5 linked regions of the Macaca mulatta genome follow. The protein of the gene in region 1 purifies or fractionates together with the protein of each later gene. This does not show direct contact. Links are inferred from orthologs where the notes say so. Each region holds a gene or a part of one and is shown in the gene's direction. Other genes may lie near its edges. The genes, in order: MYCBP, OTUD4, ARFGEF2, ARFGEF1 and SPAG5.

Evidence for each region.
Region 2: the proteins of MYCBP (region 1) and OTUD4 purify together in Homo sapiens (co-immunoprecipitation; 3 studies listed by BioGRID and IntAct, with this or other methods). This does not show direct contact. The link is inferred for Macaca mulatta from reciprocal best matches to the Homo sapiens genes MYCBP and OTUD4.
Region 3: the proteins of MYCBP (region 1) and ARFGEF2 purify together in Homo sapiens (co-immunoprecipitation; 4 studies listed by BioGRID and IntAct, with this or other methods). This does not show direct contact. The link is inferred for Macaca mulatta from reciprocal best matches to the Homo sapiens genes MYCBP and ARFGEF2.
Region 4: the proteins of MYCBP (region 1) and ARFGEF1 purify together in Homo sapiens (co-immunoprecipitation; 4 studies listed by BioGRID and IntAct, with this or other methods). This does not show direct contact. The link is inferred for Macaca mulatta from reciprocal best matches to the Homo sapiens genes MYCBP and ARFGEF1.
Region 5: the proteins of MYCBP (region 1) and SPAG5 purify together in Homo sapiens (co-immunoprecipitation; 3 studies listed by BioGRID and IntAct, with this or other methods). This does not show direct contact. The link is inferred for Macaca mulatta from reciprocal best matches to the Homo sapiens genes MYCBP and SPAG5.

Annotation. Positions count from the first base shown.
Region 1 is NC_133406.1:201,940,030-201,943,543, forward strand, and holds part of MYCBP (C-Myc-binding protein), read left to right. Parts: intron 1-2,443; coding exon 2,444-2,492; intron 2,493-3,057; coding exon 3,058-3,187; intron 3,188-3,514. UniProt on the Homo sapiens protein: May control the transcriptional activity of MYC. Stimulates the activation of E box-dependent transcription by MYC.
Region 2 is NC_133410.1:153,741,285-153,744,798, reverse strand, and holds part of OTUD4 (OTU domain-containing protein 4), read left to right. Parts: intron 1-1,639; coding exon 1,640-1,697; intron 1,698-1,947; coding exon 1,948-2,065; intron 2,066-2,158; coding exon 2,159-2,223; intron 2,224-3,514.
Region 3 is NC_133415.1:101,785,525-101,789,038, forward strand, and holds part of ARFGEF2 (brefeldin A-inhibited guanine nucleotide-exchange protein 2), read left to right. Parts: intron 1-1,031; coding exon 1,032-1,266; intron 1,267-2,232; coding exon 2,233-2,332; intron 2,333-3,052; coding exon 3,053-3,192; intron 3,193-3,514. UniProt on the Homo sapiens protein: Promotes guanine-nucleotide exchange on ARF1 and ARF3 and to a lower extent on ARF5 and ARF6. Promotes the activation of ARF1/ARF5/ARF6 through replacement of GDP with GTP. Involved in the regulation of Golgi vesicular transport.
Region 4 is NC_133413.1:78,034,518-78,038,812, reverse strand, and holds the start of ARFGEF1 (brefeldin A-inhibited guanine nucleotide-exchange protein 1), read left to right. Parts: upstream 1-1,493; 5' UTR 1,494-1,583; exon of another isoform or gene 1,584-1,611; 5' UTR 1,612-1,833; coding exon 1,834-1,957; intron 1,958-4,295. Other genes in the region: uncharacterized protein LOC144330803, read right to left, coding at 955-1,326. UniProt on the Homo sapiens protein: Promotes guanine-nucleotide exchange on ARF1 and ARF3. Promotes the activation of ARF1/ARF3 through replacement of GDP with GTP. Involved in vesicular trafficking.
Region 5 is NC_133421.1:37,300,164-37,304,105, reverse strand, and holds the start of SPAG5 (sperm-associated antigen 5), read left to right. Parts: upstream 1-1,129; 5' UTR 1,130-1,277; coding exon 1,278-1,328; intron 1,329-1,588; coding exon 1,589-1,714; intron 1,715-3,942. UniProt on the Homo sapiens protein: Essential component of the mitotic spindle required for normal chromosome segregation and progression into anaphase. Required for chromosome alignment, normal timing of sister chromatid segregation, and maintenance of spindle pole architecture.

The DNA of each region.
Region 1 (3,514 bases):
ACCACGCCCAGCTAATTTTTTGTATATTTAGTAGAGACAGGGTTTCATCGTGTTAGCCAGGATGGTCTTGATCTCTTGACCTCGTGATCCGCCTGCCTAGGCCTCCCAAAGTGCTGGGATTACAGGCGTGAGCCACCATGCCCGACCAGTTTTTTTTTTTTTTTTGGGTAAGTCGGGGTTTTGCCCAGGTTGATCTCAAGCAATCCTCCTGCCTTGGCCTCTCAAAGTGCTGGAATTTCAGGCATGAGCCACTGTGTCTGGCCTAAATTTTTTACAGCTTATTTCCAAGATGATTTGAAATAGTTTATAACATTAAAACACTATGAAAGGATGGCTAAAGATAAAGATGATAAATCATTTGGAAGCTGAAGCATTTTAGCTATTTTGAGCAGTATATCAACCTCTAAAAATCCTGGCTACGAAGGCAAAAAGGGGTGCACGATTGGGTATAGAGTTCTTGTCTGATTAGAAGGAAGTGCATTTCATTTATAGAAAAACACAGGAAACTTAGTATTTACAGTATCTTCTGCAATGATCAACCTTGTAAGTACCACTGACAGAAATTAGAAGCCGAGAGAAATGGGGTGGGGGAATAAGAGGAGAGGAAAGAGTATTAATATTCATGTCTTATAAAATTAGGATTTGGCTGGGTGTTCATGCCTGTAATTCCAGAACTTTGGGAGGCTGAGGAGGGCGGATCACCTGAGGTCGGGAGTTCGAGACTAGTGTGACCAACATGGAGAAATCCCGTCTCTACTAAAAATACAAAATTAGCCGGGCATGGTGGTGCATGCCTGTAGTCCCAGCTACTAGAGAGGCTGAGGCAGGAGAATCGCTTGAACCTGGGAGGCGGAGGTTGTGGTGAGCGGAGATTGCATGCCTTTGCACTCCCGCCTGGGCAACAAGAGCGAAACTCCGTCTCAAAAACAAACAAAAACAACGAATTTCTCAAAAAATAGTGCCGTTAAGTGTATTTAGATGAAGAGTAACTATCACAACTCAATGTAAGTTGTTAAAAATAGTTGCCCATTTGATTTTTTCATACTGTATATTATTTTGGTAAGTTGTTAAAACTCTAAAACAAAAGAAGTATGTAAGTTGGTTTACAACAGGACTTAACTTGAGGTCTAGATATCTATCACTGTTTTTTTTTCTTTTAGACAGAGTCTTGCTCTGTTGCCCAGGCTGTAGTGCAGTGGCATGATCTCAGCTCACTGTAAGCTCCACCTCCTAGGTTCACGCCATTTTCCTGCCTCAGCCTCCTGAGTAGCTGGGACTACAGCTGCTGGCCACCATGCCCAGCTAATTTTTTGTATTTTTAGTAGAGACGGGGTTTCACTGTGTTAGCCAGGATGGTCTTGATCTCCTGACCAGGTGATTTGCCCGCCTCGGCCTCCCAAAGTGATGGGATTACAGGCGTGAGCCACTGCGCCCAGCCACATTTTTTTGTGTGTGGTTGCTTTTTTTGCTTTTATTAAATTTTTCAAAGGGTTCCATGCACAAAAAGGCCAACCACTAAATTAGAGTTTTTTTATCGAAGTAGTAAATTCTAGGAAGAATTTGTTCCATAGATGAAGAGCAAGGCAGTGCTCATATGAGTGATTAGATATGAAACCACTCAAGTATATCTTATTTTAATGTTGATTTGAGCATGTTGACTACAGGTAAAATTTTTGATTAGTGGTTATTTAGCAAAACAAACTTCACTTTTAAGACCATGTTTGAATTCAGAGCGTCTTCCAGTAATTACCATAGTCCTGTTGATTCTTTCCTAAATTCTCGAATTTCTTTCTTCTCACTGTTCTATCACTCCCATCACTCTACTGCAGGTTGCTGTCTTTTTAAACTGGATTACCACATCAGCCTTTTAACCGTTCTTCCTGTCTTTATCCTCATCCCACTCCAGCTGGTTCACATAGCAGTTAAGAGTGGATCCTGTCACTCCCTTCCTTAAAACTGTTTAATTATATGCCAACCAAATTTGCATGACCCTCCATAATGTGGCCATGACCACCTTTCCAGCTTCCTTTCCTGCCAAATTACATCTCCAGCCATACTTGAATTTTCAGTTCCTCAATACATTGTTTTCTTGCTCCTGGGCCTTCCCATTTTAAAACACTCATCCCCTAGGTATCAGGTCTTTGCCTTCCTTTAGGAATCCTTCCTTGATGTCCTAGGCTTGCTTAGGTGTTCTTCCAGTGTGCTATCGTAACCCATTATCCAGTATTACTGCTTGATACCCTCTAGTTCCTTGCATATCTTTTACGCTTGACTGTAAATTTGTTGAGAACAGGGACCTTGTCTGTCTTGTTCAGCATTGTATAGTCTTTGCAACGTGCTCAGCATATAGTTGGCACCTAATATTTACTGGGTAATGGAATATAATTTCAGCCATTCAAATTGAATACGTCAATTGTTGCTTTTTCTGCTTTTTGATTTGCAGTGTTGGTAGCCTTATATGAAGAACCAGAGAAACCTAACAGTGCTTTGGAGTATCCTTTCATCTTTCAAGTCAGAAAAAGGCTTTATTTTGAAACTCTTATTTTTTTAGATAGATAATAACCTTTAAAATACTTCTGAATATTGAGAAAGTTAGTTTTTTTTTTTTTTTTTTTTTTTTTGAGACGGAGTCTTGCACTGTTGCCTGGTGGGGAGTGCAGTGGTGTGATCTTGGCTCACTGCAACCTCCGCCTCCCGGCTTCAAGCGATTCTCCTGCCTCAGCCTCCCAAGTAGCTGGGATTACAGGTGCCCGCCACCATGCCCAGCTAATTTTTTGTATTTTTAGTAGAGACAGCGTTTCACTATGTTGGTCAGGCTAGTCTCAAACTCCTGACCTCATGATCTGCCCACCTTGGCCTCCCAAAGTGCTGGGATTACAGGCGTGAGCCACCATGCCCGGCCGAGAAAGTTACTTTCACTTGAGTTTTTGGATGGTGATCTCTGGGTAGATATTGGTGGTAAAGTGGGTGACTCTGGTCAGGGATATTGATACTACTCTGTGCTATTTCATTAGTTTCATTCATGTCTAATAAGTAAGTTCTTAACATTGATAATAGTTTTTTAAAGCATCACTTAGGAGCTGCTACCCCAGAGAATCCAGAAATAGAGCTGCTTCGCCTAGAACTGGCTGAAATGAAAGAGAAATATGAAGCTATTGTAGAAGAAAATAAAAAACTGAAAGCAAAGGTAAAATTTTAAAAATAAGTCATGTGAAGATAATTTTACCTGTAATAATTATATGATGAAAACCTCACTAAAATGGACAGGAGGGGAGGAAGGTGGGTGAATATCAATTTGAATTAATTGCAAAGGCCAAAGTTATGCTGTGTCTAGAAGACCACAAGACAGGCTGGGCGTGGTGGCTCGTGCCTGTAATTCCAGCACTTTGGGAGGCCAAGGTGGGCAGATCACGAGGTCAAGAGTTCAAGACCAGCCTAGCCAACATGGTGAAACCCTGTCTCTACTAAGAATACAAAAATTAGCCAGGCATGGTGGCATGTGCCTGTAATCCCA
Region 2 (3,514 bases), on another chromosome or scaffold:
TAGCTGGGATTACAGGCATGCGCCACCAACCCGGCTAATTTTGTATTTTTAGTAGAAATGGGGTTTCCTCTGTGTTAGTCAGGCTGGTCTCGAACTCACAAACTCAGATGATCTGACCGCCTCGGCCTCCAAAAGTGCTGGGATTACAGGCCTGAGGCACTGTGGCCTCTTTTTTATAAAACCATCAGATCTTGTGAGAACTCACGATCATGAGAGCAGCGTAGGGGAAACCACCCACATGATTCAGTTATCTCCACCTGGTCTTGCCCTTGATACGTGGGGAGTATTACAATTCAGAATGAGATTTTGGCTGGGGGCACAAAGCTAAACTGTATCAGCCTACATCTCAACACTCATTTTTGCCTACTTATTTTTTTTTTTCCTTATAGCAGTTATCAGCATGTAACATACTCATTACTTACTAGTTTTTATCTGTTGTCACCAGATTGTACATTTCATGTAGGCAGAGTTTTTATTCTCTTAAATGCTAGACTCCAGCACCTAATAATACAGTCATCCCTTGGTGTATACCAGGGGATTCGGGACTCTTGAGTATACCACAGTCTGCACATATTCAAGTCCTGCTACGGGCCCTGTGAATCTGTTTATATGAAAAGCTGGCCCTCTGTGTACTTGGGTGTCACATCCCAAGAATACTGTATTTTCGATCTGCTTTTGGTTGGAAAAAAAGCTGTGTGTAAGTGGACCTGCACAGTTCAAACCTGTATTGTTCAAGAGCCAGCAGTGTACAGTGCATGGCACATAGTAGACACTCAGGTTAGTTATTGAGTATATGTGTAGGTATGTATGCGACAGTGAATTTAAAGGGCTGATGATGGTGCTTTCATTGTGCTGAACATTATTTGATGTAGAGTATTTTTTTTTTTTTTTTTTTGAGATGGAGTTTCGCTCTTGTTGCCCAGGCTGGAGTGCAGTGGTGTGAACTTGGCTCACTGCAACCTCCGCCCCCCAGGTTCAAGCGATTCTCCTGCCTCAGTCTCCCGAGTAGCTAGGATTATAGGCATGCGCTACCATGCCCAGCTAATTTTGTATTTTTAGTAGAGACAGGGTTTCTCCATGTTGGTCAGGTTGGTCTTGAACTCTCCAACTCAGGTGATCTGCCCGCTTCTGCCTCCCAAAGTGCTGAGATTGCAGGCGTGAGCCACCGCGCCCGGCTGATGGAGAGTGTTTTTAATAAAAGGGTTGTCGAATCTGCCTATAGATACTTTTGTTGTAAATCGATTTTTTTTTTTTTTTTAAAAACGGGTATATTGAAAGAAAGAAACTGGTATATTGAATTTACAGAACAATGTAAAAAGTTGCTTTCAATATACACGTGAGTAAATTCAATTATTCTACCCACCCAGATTTCACAGTTTATTTCTGTTCTCTTACTGATTACTGAGCCAGTTAGAATTACTGTTGTCTTTGACTTCTATCTTATATATATATACATTTACATACATATACTCTTTTATATATAGATATATTTATACCAAAACTTGTATGAGCTCACTGGAATATAGCTCTGACTTTTTGGAGCATAGTTCTGACTTTGAAGACTTTTAGATGAAGTTAGAAGGTAATTACATGCAAATACCTTTTTTCTGCCCCTAATTATGGTTATCTTTCTTTGTAGGAGTAAAACTGCTGCTGCTGCTGATGTGAATGGATTTAAACCTTTGTCAGACAATGAGGTATTTTTTTTTTAAAGTGGTTTTAAAACTAGCTCTTTAATATAAGAAAGCATATACATTAAAATCTTAATTTTTTTTCTTTTTTCTGGTACATTTCAGTCAAGTCAGGATCATCTAAGAAATTGATTTGGTGGCTTCCTAGTTTTTTGAAGTTTCTTTTCTTCATTTGACTTTAGTTTTACATGTATCTCAAACAAAAATGTTTTAAAAGCACTCGTGTTGATTGGACTTCTTGACTTTGTTTGTTTAGCAGCTGAAGAACAATGGGAACTCTCCTAGCCTGCCTTTGTCTAGAAAGGTTCTTAAGTCACTCAATCCTTCAGTCTATAGAAATGTGGAATATGAAATTTGGCTGAAGTCTAAACAAGGTGAGTTAAAAATCTGCATTTTCCATAAATTTGCTTTGTAGCACTTGAAAATAAGTCAACTTTATATTATACTGACCTTTTTTTTTTTAACAGCTCAGCAAAAACGTGATTATTCCATTGCTGCTGGCTTACAATATGAAGTTGGAGACAAATGTCAAGTAAGTGACTCATGTAAAATAAGAGATTTTACTTGAAACCTTGCTTTTTCTAATATGAACCGAGAAAACAACTGAGGTGTGAATATGTTGTTAATTTGGGATTTCAGAATATATTTATTATGTATATACATTTTAGTAGTTTACAAGTATTTAGGTTTTTGACTCATTTGAATACATTGTTAAAATTGTATGTATCTGAAACTGGCATTCCATCACATGATCTTTAAAAACAATTCAGCCTTTGGTATTAACTTGGTTCAAAGAAGTAATGATAATAACATATCAGATATTGAGGTTTTTTTGTTAAAATTGACTGAAATTGATTCAAAATTGACTATAGGTCATTTAGTTTTGTTTATGAAAATCATCTTGGATGATGTTGGTACATACATAATGTTTACTGTTGGACTGAGGAAGGAAAGTGAACCACAGAGAAGTTTTTGCCAATTAATTTGAATATGCAGCTGCCCTGGGTTTGAGTAGCTGATGGTTAAAAGGAGAAAGTTGGATTAAAATCAGTGTTTCTTAATCTAGTAGTTAACCCCCTCACTTCCTCCCCTGCCCCCCCTACCCCCACTGAACATTCAGCAGTGTGGAGAAATTTTTTACTGTCACAACTGGGAGGGTGCTACTGACATCTAGTGGGTAGAGGCCAAAGCTGTAGCCAAATAGTCTACAGTGCACAGAACAGCCTCCCTCATCTCCCTCTAACAAAGAATACCTAGTCCAAAGTGTCAGTAATGCTTAGGCAGAAGAAACCCTAGGTAAGATAATTTACACGGTCTCTTCTTGTTTTTTGTTCCTTGTTTATGGAAAAATATTGCTATTTCAAAAACAAAAACAAAACCACATACACAAAAAATGTTATGTAGAAGTTAATTCTCATCAGAAATCATTTCCATCAAAAAGTGTTGCCTTTTAAAAAACTACTTTAAAACAGCCATTGGCAAACATTTATTTTTGACTTACAGAGGAAACATTTACTTTATGATAAATTGGCTTTTGTGAAGTCATCTGATTAGCCAGGATTTTATCTTAAGAACCTTTAATAGTTCTCGTTCTGGGGTATTTAAAGGTGAGGAAAAAGAGAACATGATTCATTCAGGTACTGCCTTATGGGATTGTCATAAATCTGCTCTAATTGTAGAAGGAAATTGTGGAAGCTTTTACTACATTGATTGGGAAAACTTGAAAGAGAACAAACGAGATTAAATCTAGGGTTTAAAGGTCTCTCTCCTCACCCTTTTCAACAGAGAAGAGAAGATGGCTTATGCTGTATCATTAAAGTCAT
Region 3 (3,514 bases), on another chromosome or scaffold:
GCCAGAAAGAGCTGCATTTAGATCTTGGCTCCTCCACCTGAGAGCAGTTCCTTGGTTATATGTCTTACCAAGCCTCATCTGAAAAATGGGAATATGGAAAATCATCTTACAGGATTGATTAAATGAAATATCGGTGTTGTCCTGAGCATGGAGCCTTGTACTTTATAAATTGTCACTGTTGTTCCTGTCATTAGTCATTAATAATAATCTTCAATTCATCTATTGTGAATGCTGCTAATACTATGATAGGTATTAGGAAAATAGGCCAGGTGTGGTGGCTCACCCCTATAATCCCAACACTCTGGGAGGCCGAGGTGGGTGGATCACTTGAGGCCAGGAGTTTGAAACCAGCCTGGCCAACAAGACAAAACCCCATCTCTACTAAAAATACAAAAATTAGCTGGGTGTGCTGGTACGCACCTGTAATCCCAGCCACTCAGGAGGCTGAGGCAAGAGAATCACTTGAACCCAAGAGGCAGAGGTTGCAGTGAGCCGAGATCGTGTCACTGAACTCTAGCCTGGGCAACAGAGCAACAGTAAATTTTAAAAAATAAAAATAAGTGTTAAGAAAATAGTTCATGAAAGTGTACCATTTCTTACCATACCTGAACTCAGGGATGGGCAGCGGTGAGGGAGGGCTGTGAGGTAGGTGGATAAAGAGCACCGTCTTCATGGTGTGTTAAGATAGGGTGAGCCAGGTGTCTCAGCCTCCCACAAGTGATGTAAAGTCATTGATTCTCTCAGTGCAGTTGTAGAACCTGCTCTCCAGAATCAGTTGACACTTTGCTCCTGCTGTATTCTCTACTTTGTGATGGAGAGAGACAAAAAGGAATTGGCAGCTCTTGTTCTCAAAGGGCCTGCAATTCCAGAAGGACCCACCTCATGCCATCTGCCCTGATTCTCCTGACATTTAGGTGCTATTAATTCTTTATACTTCTGCTCATTGGTAGAGGAGCAAGGCCTTCTCAAGAAACATACTGTTTGACATTTTTTCTTTTAGCACTGTTACGGTTTTTCATTTTCTTTGCCAGATCCCATGAGCTGCGTTCCAAGGTGGTTTCCCTGCAGCTGCTTCTCTCTGTGTTACAAAATGCTGGCCCCGTATTTAGGACTCACGAGATGTTCATCAATGCAATCAAGCAATATCTCTGTGTGGCCTTGTCCAAAAACGGCGTCTCTTCAGTGCCTGATGTCTTTGAGCTGTCTCTTGCCATTTTTCTTACTCTTCTTTCAAACTTTAAAATGCACTTGAAAATGCAGATAGAGGTATGGACTCCAAAGTTTTTTCATTTGATTGTTTACTATTATTAATAATAATACTCAATGTTGAGAATGCTGCTAATATTATACACTAAGCATTAGGAAAATGGTTCGTGAAAATGTTTCATATCTTACCATCCGGAACTCAGGAGTGGGCAAGGGCAGGGAGGGTAAATGGCATACTCATCAGCTGGCACCCCAGTAAATCAGAACTTTTTAAATGAGTAAGAGAGTATCTTTTTATAAAAAGTTACTGCCCTCAGGCTGGGCACAGTGGCTCATGCCTGTAATCCCAGCACTTTGGGAGGCTGAGGCGGGCGGATCACGAGGTCAGATTGAGATCATCCTGGCTAACATGGTGAAACACTGTTTTTACTAAAAATACAAAAAAATTAGCCAGGCGAGGTGGTGGGCGCCTGTAGTCCCAGCTACTCGGGAGGCTGAGGCAGGAGAATGGCATGAACCCAGGAGGCAGAGCTTACAGTGAGCTGAGATTGCGCCACTGCGCTCCAGCCTGGGCAACAGAGCGAGACTCTGTCTCAAAAAAAAAAAAAAAAGTTACTGCCCCCAGATCTTATGTGCCTTTCATTTTAACCAAAGGATATGGGCTATATGCTGGGCTCGCCCCTTAAACATGTCTGTTTGGTCTGTAAATTGTTTGAAATCATTTAGATTAGTTGCCAAATTGAGAAATCCTATCTTACATGAAACTCCAGATTTCTGGTTTCTCTCCAAAAAGTCACAACATGGGTCCTGCATTTCCACTTGGCAGCTCCCCTGATGGCCCCTACCCTGCCAGCCGTCCCCACCAAGGCCAGGGTCCTGACGCTGCCCAGCCGGGCGGGCGCTCCACTCTCCTGCCCAGGGTGCTTTACTTACTGCAGGATCGGGTTGGCTTCTGAAGACTTTGGAGGTTTTGAGCCCTGGTTGAAACTGTTAATTAGTGTCCTCCTTTGTCTTTATGTCATATAGGTCTTTTTCAAAGAAATTTTCTTGAACATTTTAGAAACATCAACAAGTTCTTTTGAGCACAGGTGGATGGTCATTCAGACTCTGACGAGGATCTGTGCAGGTATTTTCACCTGGGGACACTCATCCACTGGACTTTTGATGCTTTAATTTGCCAAAGCTCAGATTAAGACTTTTAACTCCTCCTTTTAGAGTTTTAAAGAAGGATTGGAAATAAAAGGCTAATTCTAACCTAGTCCTGTCCCACCTCTCCTTTTTTAGAGGATGACCAACTCAGGCTGGTTTGCCAAGGACTTCCTGGTTTTAGCACTAAGTCTCATGTCCCAGAAACCCCCTAATCTCATCAAACTGGAACACTTGGTTACATTACCTACAAGCTGAGTACTGTTAGTCACAGGACCTAAGATATTGGTGCTGCCAATTTTTGATTGGGTGCTATGGTAAATGTGGATTTACCTTACACTATACAATTGTGTGGCCTCAAAGTAAGCATCCTGCTTGTCTGGCATCTAATGTATTTTTATAAGAGTGACACAACTTTAAGAGGTGGATCAGGCAATTGTTAGCCCCTTCCTTGATGAGAAAAGTGAGCCTTGGACGGGTGGAATGAACCGCCTGAGATTTCAGTTTGCTCAGAAGCGGGCCTGAAAACAACCTCCTCTCTGCCAGCTTCCTAGTACTTCCAACATGTGTTTCCTGAGTGAGATGCGGCCACTGGAGCCTGTAGTTCACTGGGGAAATTTGTTGGCAAACATCTTGTTTGATAAGAAAACATAACTGCTATTTGATCAGAATTTCTGATACTTGTATGTTATTTTCCAAGATGCCCAGTGTGTTGTGGATATTTATGTCAACTACGACTGTGATTTAAATGCTGCTAACATTTTCGAGCGCCTTGTAAATGATTTATCCAAAATTGCTCAGGGAAGAAGTGGACATGAGCTGGGAATGACACCTCTGCAGGTAAAAACACTGTGGACACTCAATTGTATTAAAGTTTATTCATTCCAATAAACATTTATTGAGTGCCACCACATGCCAGGCACTGTCCTTGATATAGCAGTGAACAAAACAGGCATACGTATTCTCACATTTCCTGCCATCATAAAACGACATTAAAGAAGTCAGTTCAGATGATCATAAGGTCTGCAGAGAAGAAGAATAAAGCAGGGACGGCAGAGAGGAAGTGCTGGAGGTGGGGTGCTGTAATTCTTAATGGAGTCATTAGGGTAGTATCCCTTAGAAGGTGACCTTTGAGCTGAGACCCATAGGAAGCAAATTCATT
Region 4 (4,295 bases), on another chromosome or scaffold:
GAACTTGTTCTAAAAAAGTTTATTAACGTATACACAGAAATCAGTATTATACCTGATCTAAGAGTATAATGAATCCTTTATTTCCAGTAATCTAGAGATAGTCTCTAAAATAAAATTAATTAATTTATAGATTTGTTTCTCAGGACAATAAAGTTTAAAAAAATTAATCTATTTTTCCACTTTAATTTGTCACCTTCAAGTTTTCCATTTTATTTCCTCTGGGTTTTAGCCTTCTCAAATCCGGTCACTTCACTAAGTTCACAGTCACTTAAGTTTCTCCTTCCTTAGGTTTGGATGGTTGCGTTAGGACAAGCCTACAGTTAAGCAATGAACAGTGACAGATGCATACTAAATACTAGGGAACCTGTGTGGATGGAGCCACAGTAGCTTAGAACTCGGAGACGTGACCCTAGATCACCATATAAAATGTTTGCATATATTTTTATGGTATTCTTTTTCTGCTCAGAAGGAAACTGTAGAAATTAAATATTGCAGAAATTTGAGTTCTACACTCAGACTAATGCAAACACATGGTCACGTGTGTTAATCTGTTTGCACTTAAAGCTTTTCCATTCTAAACTTGTTTACATGTCCTGGACTAAATCTTAGTATTAAAGGCACAGAAACACAGGGCTCTACGGAACCTCATTCACAACCATTCACCTTAACTGAGTCGATTCAGAAGGGACCTGAAGTCTAGAGTTGACCGATTCATCCGACAGAGAGAGAAAAAAGTGAAACATTTTCCAACCCTTATCATAGGTTTTGGCTTACTTTTCCCAAAACAGAATCCTCCCTGAGGTAGTCGGAGAGCACAGTCCTGGATAGCAGTTCCGTGCACCGGGGAAGGAGGAAATTTTAGAGTCCAGTGATGCAGGCGGAGACCCAGTGTGGCTGAGAACTGGCGATGCGGGTGTTCCTGTGACCCCTGGAATGCAAAGGATTGCACCCCCATCAGAAAGTTAGAGGAGCCGATGCAGAGTAGCCAGAAGTCCTGTTCATTCGGCAGGAGCAGGGGTGCCGAGTGGGGGGGATCTCCGGTTCCGCAGCTCGGCCGCAGCCAAGAGCCCGAAGTGCTGGGCGCGGCGCCACCAGAGGCCCGCCACGCCCCACGCCGCCCTGCAGGCGAACGCTGGAGGCCCCGCCGGGCCGCCGTAGCGCTGCGGCTCGGCCCGCTCCTTCCGCGCCGCCCTCCGCCCCCAGCCTCCCGGCGCCGCGGTAGCTCTGGGCAGGCAGCGCCGCCGCCGCCGCCGCCGCCGCCGCTGCTGCTGTTTCCTCCTCTGCAGCCGTTCGGCCGCTGCGTGACGCGTCGTTTCCTCCCAACATGGCGGCCGGGGCAGGTCGGCGGTGATGGAGGCCAGTTCGCGGCCGCGGCGGGTGCTAATCCCCACAGTAGCCAGGGTAGCCCTCCTCTCGCGGTGCCTGTGAGAGCCGCCGCCACCTAGTCCCTCATTTCCCGGCAGACAGCCGCCCAGGCCGGGCTCCGTTACCGCCGCCAGGGCCGGAGGGACGAGTGAGAGGGGCGGCCGGGACGCGACCCCCGGGCCGGGAGAAGCTGAGGCCCGACGGGCGCGGCCCTCGAGGTACGGCTTCTCGGGCGCGGCCCTCGAGGTACGGCTTCTCGGGCGCGGCGAGGACCTCGACGCTCCTCGGCGGCACCGCGGCTAGTCTCGCTCGCCCGCCCCTTCCTGATCCTGCCGCTGCCCTCCACGCCTCCACTCCCCCACCTCCACCCCCTCTCCTTTCTCTCTTCTCTTCCTTCTTCTCCTCCTCCTCCCCTCCAGCCGCTGGGAGCCGCGGGTCGGACGAGCCGCCGCCTCCTTCTCTGCGTCCATGTATGAGGGGAAGAAGACGAAGAACATGTTCCTGACCCGGGCCCTGGAGAAGATACTGGCCGACAAGGAAGTGAAGAAGGCGCATCACTCCCAGCTGCGCAAAGCTTGCGAGGTGGCATTAGGTGAGTGGGGAGGAGGCCCGGGGGATGGGGTGCTTGTTGTGGGGCGGGGGGACAAGGGGGGCGCCCGTGGGGGGCTGGGGTCGCCCGAGGCTTGCCCGAGGCCCGCGCTTCTGACCTCGGGGAGCCCTCGCGGAGCTCTCTGCTCCCTGTCTGGAGTTGATAGGAACTCGGCTGGATGTGGGGCAGAGGCAGGGTAGGGGAGGAAGGGCGGTGAGCTGGGCTTGGGAAACTCGGCCGGGCATAGGATCGCGAGGCACCTGGGTTCGAGGGATCGACTTGAGAGTGAGGATTTTGTTGGTGGTCCGTGAGGTGCGGACTGGATACCACCCTTTGTGATGAAGCAGAAGATGAGCTGTTGTTTATTAGCTTGGAAATTGAGGTGGGGCCGGTATGTCAAGATTGGGCGTGGGAAATGTTCCATATCATAATTATCAATAACTTTTTCGTTTAGCGAGGTACTTTGGGGAGATAGGCTGCTGAAGTTGTTTCCTTGTTGACAGTCTTGAGAAGGGGTTCAGAAGAGGTGCAGCCGGTTCTGACATCTCTCCGCCTCTGCCACAGGAAAAACATAGAGTAATATTGTATCTGACTGGGCTGACCTGGAAGAACAAGTCCGGTGGTTAAGGGGTGGGGGTGGCGGCGTGAAAGCAGGGAAGCAAAGAACCTTTAGATAAAATGGCTTTAGGTGACAAGGGAAGGGAGGGTTTGAAATGAGGAAAATGAAAAAGACAATGACACCCACTAGCCACATGTCTGGACAGTGGCAGCTGTTCTCAAGCTTGAATTGTGATTTATAGTTCAGATGGAAGAGATCTAGTGTAATGAAGCCCGCAGCAGGGAAAATCTAAACAATACCTCCTGCCTATGAGGTTAGGCAGATAAGGAATAGTTAAAGGGGGAACATTGTTAGATCTATTGCATCCATCAAAGATGAAATCGTTTGAGAGACCATTTAACACAAAGATGCATTCCTAATGCTTACACTTTATAGCACTGGAAATACACTAAGTCAAATTGGCAAGAAAAGGAAGCTTGCTAAATAGGCTTTGGAAAAAAGCCTTCTTGAAAGGGAGAAAATCCACAATAAAGTATGCTAAAGTTAAGGAGTCAAGACAAGTTAAAATTAGTTTTTAATTATCAAAATAAGTAGAAGACTACTATTTAATTTGCTGTGATATACCGTAGTTTTTTTTCCCCTAGATCGTTAAAATTGGTAATATGGAAAACGTCAAAGAAATTTCATCTTAAAAAATTTGAGTGTGTAGTATAAGGGGCTTAAGTTTGTTTTTTCACCTTATTCATCGACTTGAAGTTTGCATTTTGTTATTTTTGTTGGTAACAAAAGACTGTTCCCCGTGTATGAGAATACCGTTGTCTAGTGGCAGAAACTGTATTTATATCTAGATCCTGAAAGGAATAATTAAATTGGGGTGGGACTGGGGAGAAAGTGATTTTAGAATTTTTAAAATAATTGTTATATGTAGGTTTATAAATTACTTGAAGGTGAAAGAACTTTAGAGAGATTCAAATTAAAGTTTAAAATTTTTGTTTGTTGAGACAGGGGCTTGCTCTGTCACCCAGACTGAAGCACAGTGGCACAATCAGGGCTCACTGCCACCTCAAACTCCCAGGATCAGGCATTCCTCCTGCCTCAGCCTCCCAAGTAATTGGGGCTTCAGGCACACCGCCACACCTGGCTAATTTTTTTTTTTTTTGGGGTGGAGATGGTGGTCTCTCTATATTGCCCAGGTTGGTCTCCAAGTCTGGGCTCAAGAGACCTCCCACCTTAGCCTCCCAAAGTGCTGGGTTTATAGGTGTGAGCTACCTCTCCTGGCCTTAATTTTTTATAATTCAGATTTTTCATGTTACAACATATTTTTAATACATTAAATTGTAAGTATCAAACTGAAGAAATGGAGTGTGTTGTGTGTATGTATATATTTTCCTTCTCCAAAATGGTAACATAAATAAGCATATTTTAATGGAGAGCCTACTGGAATGAGAGTCAGAGATCCTATATTTAAATCCCAGTTGTGTTACGTCGTTGTATTTAGCAAGTCCCTGGGCCTTAAGTTTTCTGTAAAATTAGGGTATTGAACTTAATGATTGTATGGTCACATCTCCTCTAATGTGCCATGAATGTGATTGCACTGTCCTGTTAACTCATGCATTGGGTATTCCCTACCACTCATGAGCATCATCTTTAGAGGGCCTATGTAGGGCTCTAAATGGTCCTTGCCATTTCTGGAGGTAGGGATTACTTGATATGTGTGCCAACTGTAGCAGCGTTGTCTATTCCAGATTTTGCCAGTTTTTACTTTTTTGTCCCTTCTGTATA
Region 5 (3,942 bases), on another chromosome or scaffold:
GGGTTTAAAGGATCCCCCTGCCTCTGCCTCCTCCGTGCGGGGATTACAGGCAGGAGCCATGGCACCTGGTGCTATTTTGCATTTTTTTTCATACCAAGTGTTTGAAATCCAGTTTGTACAGTGTTTTACATTTATAGCACATTCCCACTGGGACTAGTCACATTTGAGGTGCTCAAAAGCCACTATGGCTAGGGCTAATGTATTGGACAACACAGTGCTAGGGAGCCCGTCCTGAGGACGCTGCAGTTTATAACATCATAGTTCCTACTCTTTGGACTGCTGCTTTCCCCCAATGTATTAAGACTTGCAGAGTGTAAATAGGGCGCCGTGAGTGTGCAAAGGAACACACCTTCGCAAACGGCTCACTCTGAATACTTACTTTTCGGCTGTCCTACCTTCAATAGGCTTCCCGTGCACAAGCAGAAGGCAGGAGCTGGCGGGGCGGGGAGGAAGGGCGGCTCTGCCATTTAACTATCTGTGCGATGCTGAGCAAATTACACACGGTCTCTCTGACTCAGCTCCTTCCTGTTTCAAATGGGTATTATAGTATTTCTCACTACGTGGGTCCTTATGCGGATTAAATGAGCTACTACACGCCATTCGGCACAGCGCCAGGCACACACTCAATGTTCAATACATGTAGGCGGTAAGCCCAGTAAACTGGTAGCCGGCCTGAGCAAGTCCCAGGAAAAGCCCAGAAACTCTGGAGACATTACAGCCCAGGTCAAGAACCACGGCCCAGGCCGTCCTGTACGCGGGCCCACCAAGCCTAGGGAAGCAGCTTGTCACCGCTTCGGCTTCTAGACTCCCTGGCCGGCTCTTTCCCGTCAAGGCTGCGGCTGGAGGGGCCTGAGGGAGACCTAGGGAGCGGCTTCCTCTTTCCATCCACGGAGACAACTTGGATGTGAACACCATGAATGTGAGGAGGTCCACTGGAATCAGGAGGGATGGACTCCTGGACTCCCCAGCTACCTGCGGGGTCCTTCCCGGTGTGAGGACACAAGACCTGTCCTGGGCCGGGCCCGCATCCAGCCCTACAGTCGGTGTCTGCGGTGAGGGCTCCGTCAGCTGAAAGCGCGTGACAACCCACGGGCTGGCAGGACCGGGGGCGTGGTCAACGCGGGACCCGCCCCCGTCCCCGGGCCCCAGCGCCGAGCGGACGCGCCCGCCTGAAGCAGCCAATTGGGAAGCGCAGAGCAGGTTCAAACACAGACGGCGGGTGAACATGGCGTCCTCGACTTGGTTTGAGACGTGATCGGCCTGCCTTCTGGCTGAAGATGTGGCGGGTGAAAAAACTGAGCCTTAGCCTGTCGCCTTCGCCCCAGACGGTGAGCGGGAGAGCTCCGGCGGAGAGAGCTGGGCCGGGCTGCTGGCGCGGGGGCACCGGCCGTGTCGACTGTCCTGGAAAGTTGGGTCGAGCCCGGGGTTGGGTGCTTGTGGAGTCTTTGTTCGCCTTGCCGCTCCTGCGCGACTAGAATGCGAGCCTACTCTTCTAATCACCTCTTGGGCTTCTTAGGGAGGGAGGAAGGGCGGGCTAGCAGAGCCCAGGCTTCCTCACACTAGCCCTCTTTCTTGATTTCTTTCTCAGGGAAAACCAGCTATGAGAACTCCTCTCCGCGAACTTATCCTGCAGCCCGGTGCCCTCACCAACTCTGGAAAAAGGCCCCCCGCTTGCTCCTCGCTGACCCCATCACTGTGCAAGCTGGGGCTGCAGGTGAGATTCGCCTGGACAGCTTCTCGACTGGGCTGTTTGCCCAGGGTGAGAGCTCAGGGGAACAGAGGGCCAGGGCTAGAATAATTAATAACGATAATGAAGTCTTCTACGTCACTGACATCCATTTACAGCTATTCAGGCCAACAGAGAGGTGCCCTAGGGTGGTTAAAGGAAACCTACTGAGAACCTGAATCTCTGTTTAGCTGTTAGTTTTTATTACCTCCTCCTCCTCCTCCCTTCGACCTTTATCAAACTACTTAGAAATCCTGCCACTCTGATTAGTGCTCTTCCTCCAACATGGGGTCACTTATGGAAAGGTCAGTCAGCTGTAAGATTGAGGCAATATCCATTCACTCTAGGAGGTAGTCAGAACTCTCCTGGGATCAAGTTACACCACTGGAAGGCAGGGTACTTGGATCACCTTAGTTTAAACTAGCCCCTTGCAGAATTGCCCTCACTGATTTGTACTTTTGTTAAACGTCTTGAGAGATGTACCCATGTAGAAACTGCATTTCAGTTGCTGTCAAAACTTGTCAAGGAAGAAGCTTGACTCCTGTATAAGATTCCTCAAAGAAAGGCTTTGGGACTAACTGCCTGGAAAAATTGTCTTCCTGAAGAAATTGCTATCCTTTTCTTTCTGATAATGAGAACTATGCAGTTTACCATATTTTCCCTCTTGCTCTGCCTTCTAGAAAGCTCAAGGCCAAACTGGATCATCACATACAGCTACTGTTACTCGCAAAATAGGAAGTTTTGCTTCCTCTTTTTTGACCATGACTTTGTTATTTCATTAATCATATCTATTCATTTTCATGCATATGAATTATTTTTGGAAGGAGATGGGATATCAGTAAAATTGGTTTGAGGAGGAAAGAGTGTATAAAGACAGATGACATCCTGAGTAACAGTAGGATGATAGCAGTCTTTCTTGAAAGAGTTACAAAATACCTACTGTCCAATAGAACTTTCTGGGATGAGGGAAATATTTGATAATCTGTGCTGTCCAGCATGGTAACTACTAGTCACATGGTTACCGAGCACTTAAAATGTGGCTGAGGTGACTGAAGAATTGAATTTTTTTGTTTTTGAGATGGGAGTCTTGCTCTGTCACCCAGGCTGGAGTGCAGTGGAGTGATCTTGGCTCACTGCAATCTCTGCCTCCAGGGCTCAAGGGATTCTCCTGCCTCAGGCTCCTGAGTAACTGGGATTACAGGTGCATGCCACCACACCCAGGTAATTTTTTGTATTTTTAGTAGAGATAGGGTTTCACAATGTTGGCCACGCTGGTCTCAAACTCCTGACCTCAAGTGGTCCGCCTGCCTCGGCCTTCCAAAGTGCTGGGATTACAGGTGTGAGCCGCTGCGCCTGGCCTGAAGAATTGAATTTTTAATTAAATTAAATTAAATTTTTTTTTTTTTTTTTTTTTGAGATGGAGTTTCGCTCTTGTTGCCCAGGTTGGAGTGCAATGGTGTGATCTCGGCTCACTGCAACCTCTGCCTCCCAGGTTCAAGCAATTCTCCTGTCTCAGCCTCCGGCATGTGCCACCACGCCCAGCTAATTTTTGTATTTTCAGTAAAGATGGGGTTTCTCCACGTTGATCGGGCTGGTCTCGAACTCATGACCTCAGGTGATCTGCCCGCCTTCGCCTCCCAAAGAGCTGGGATTATAGGCGTGAGCCACTGCGCCTGGCCTGAATTTTTAATTTAAATAGCTACGTGTGACAGGTAGCTATCATATTAGACAGTACAGCTTAAGGTGGAAAATAAATAAGTACTAGGTAGAAATTGAGCTCTATAGAGCTTATAGAATTTATTATGATTATTAATTAATTTATTTATTTTGAGATGCAGTTTCGCTCTTGTTCCGTAGGCTAGAGTGCAATGGCATGATCTTGGCTCACTGCATCCTCTGCCTCCTCGGTTCAAGCGATTCTCCTGCCTCAGCCTCCCTAGTAGCTGGGATTACAGGCATGTGCCACCACGCCTGGCTAATTTTCGTATTTTTAGTAGAGATGGGGTTTCGCCATATTGGCCAGGCTGGTCTCGAATTCCTGACCTCAGGTGATCCACCTGCCTCAGCCTCCCAAAGTGTTGGGATTACAGGCGGGAGCCACAGCACCTGGCCTGAGCTTATAGAATTTAACCATGATTATTTAATCACAATAGCAGAATACTAGATTGAAATTGAATTCTCCTTCCCTCTTAACTACTGGGCGTACTACCTCCAGA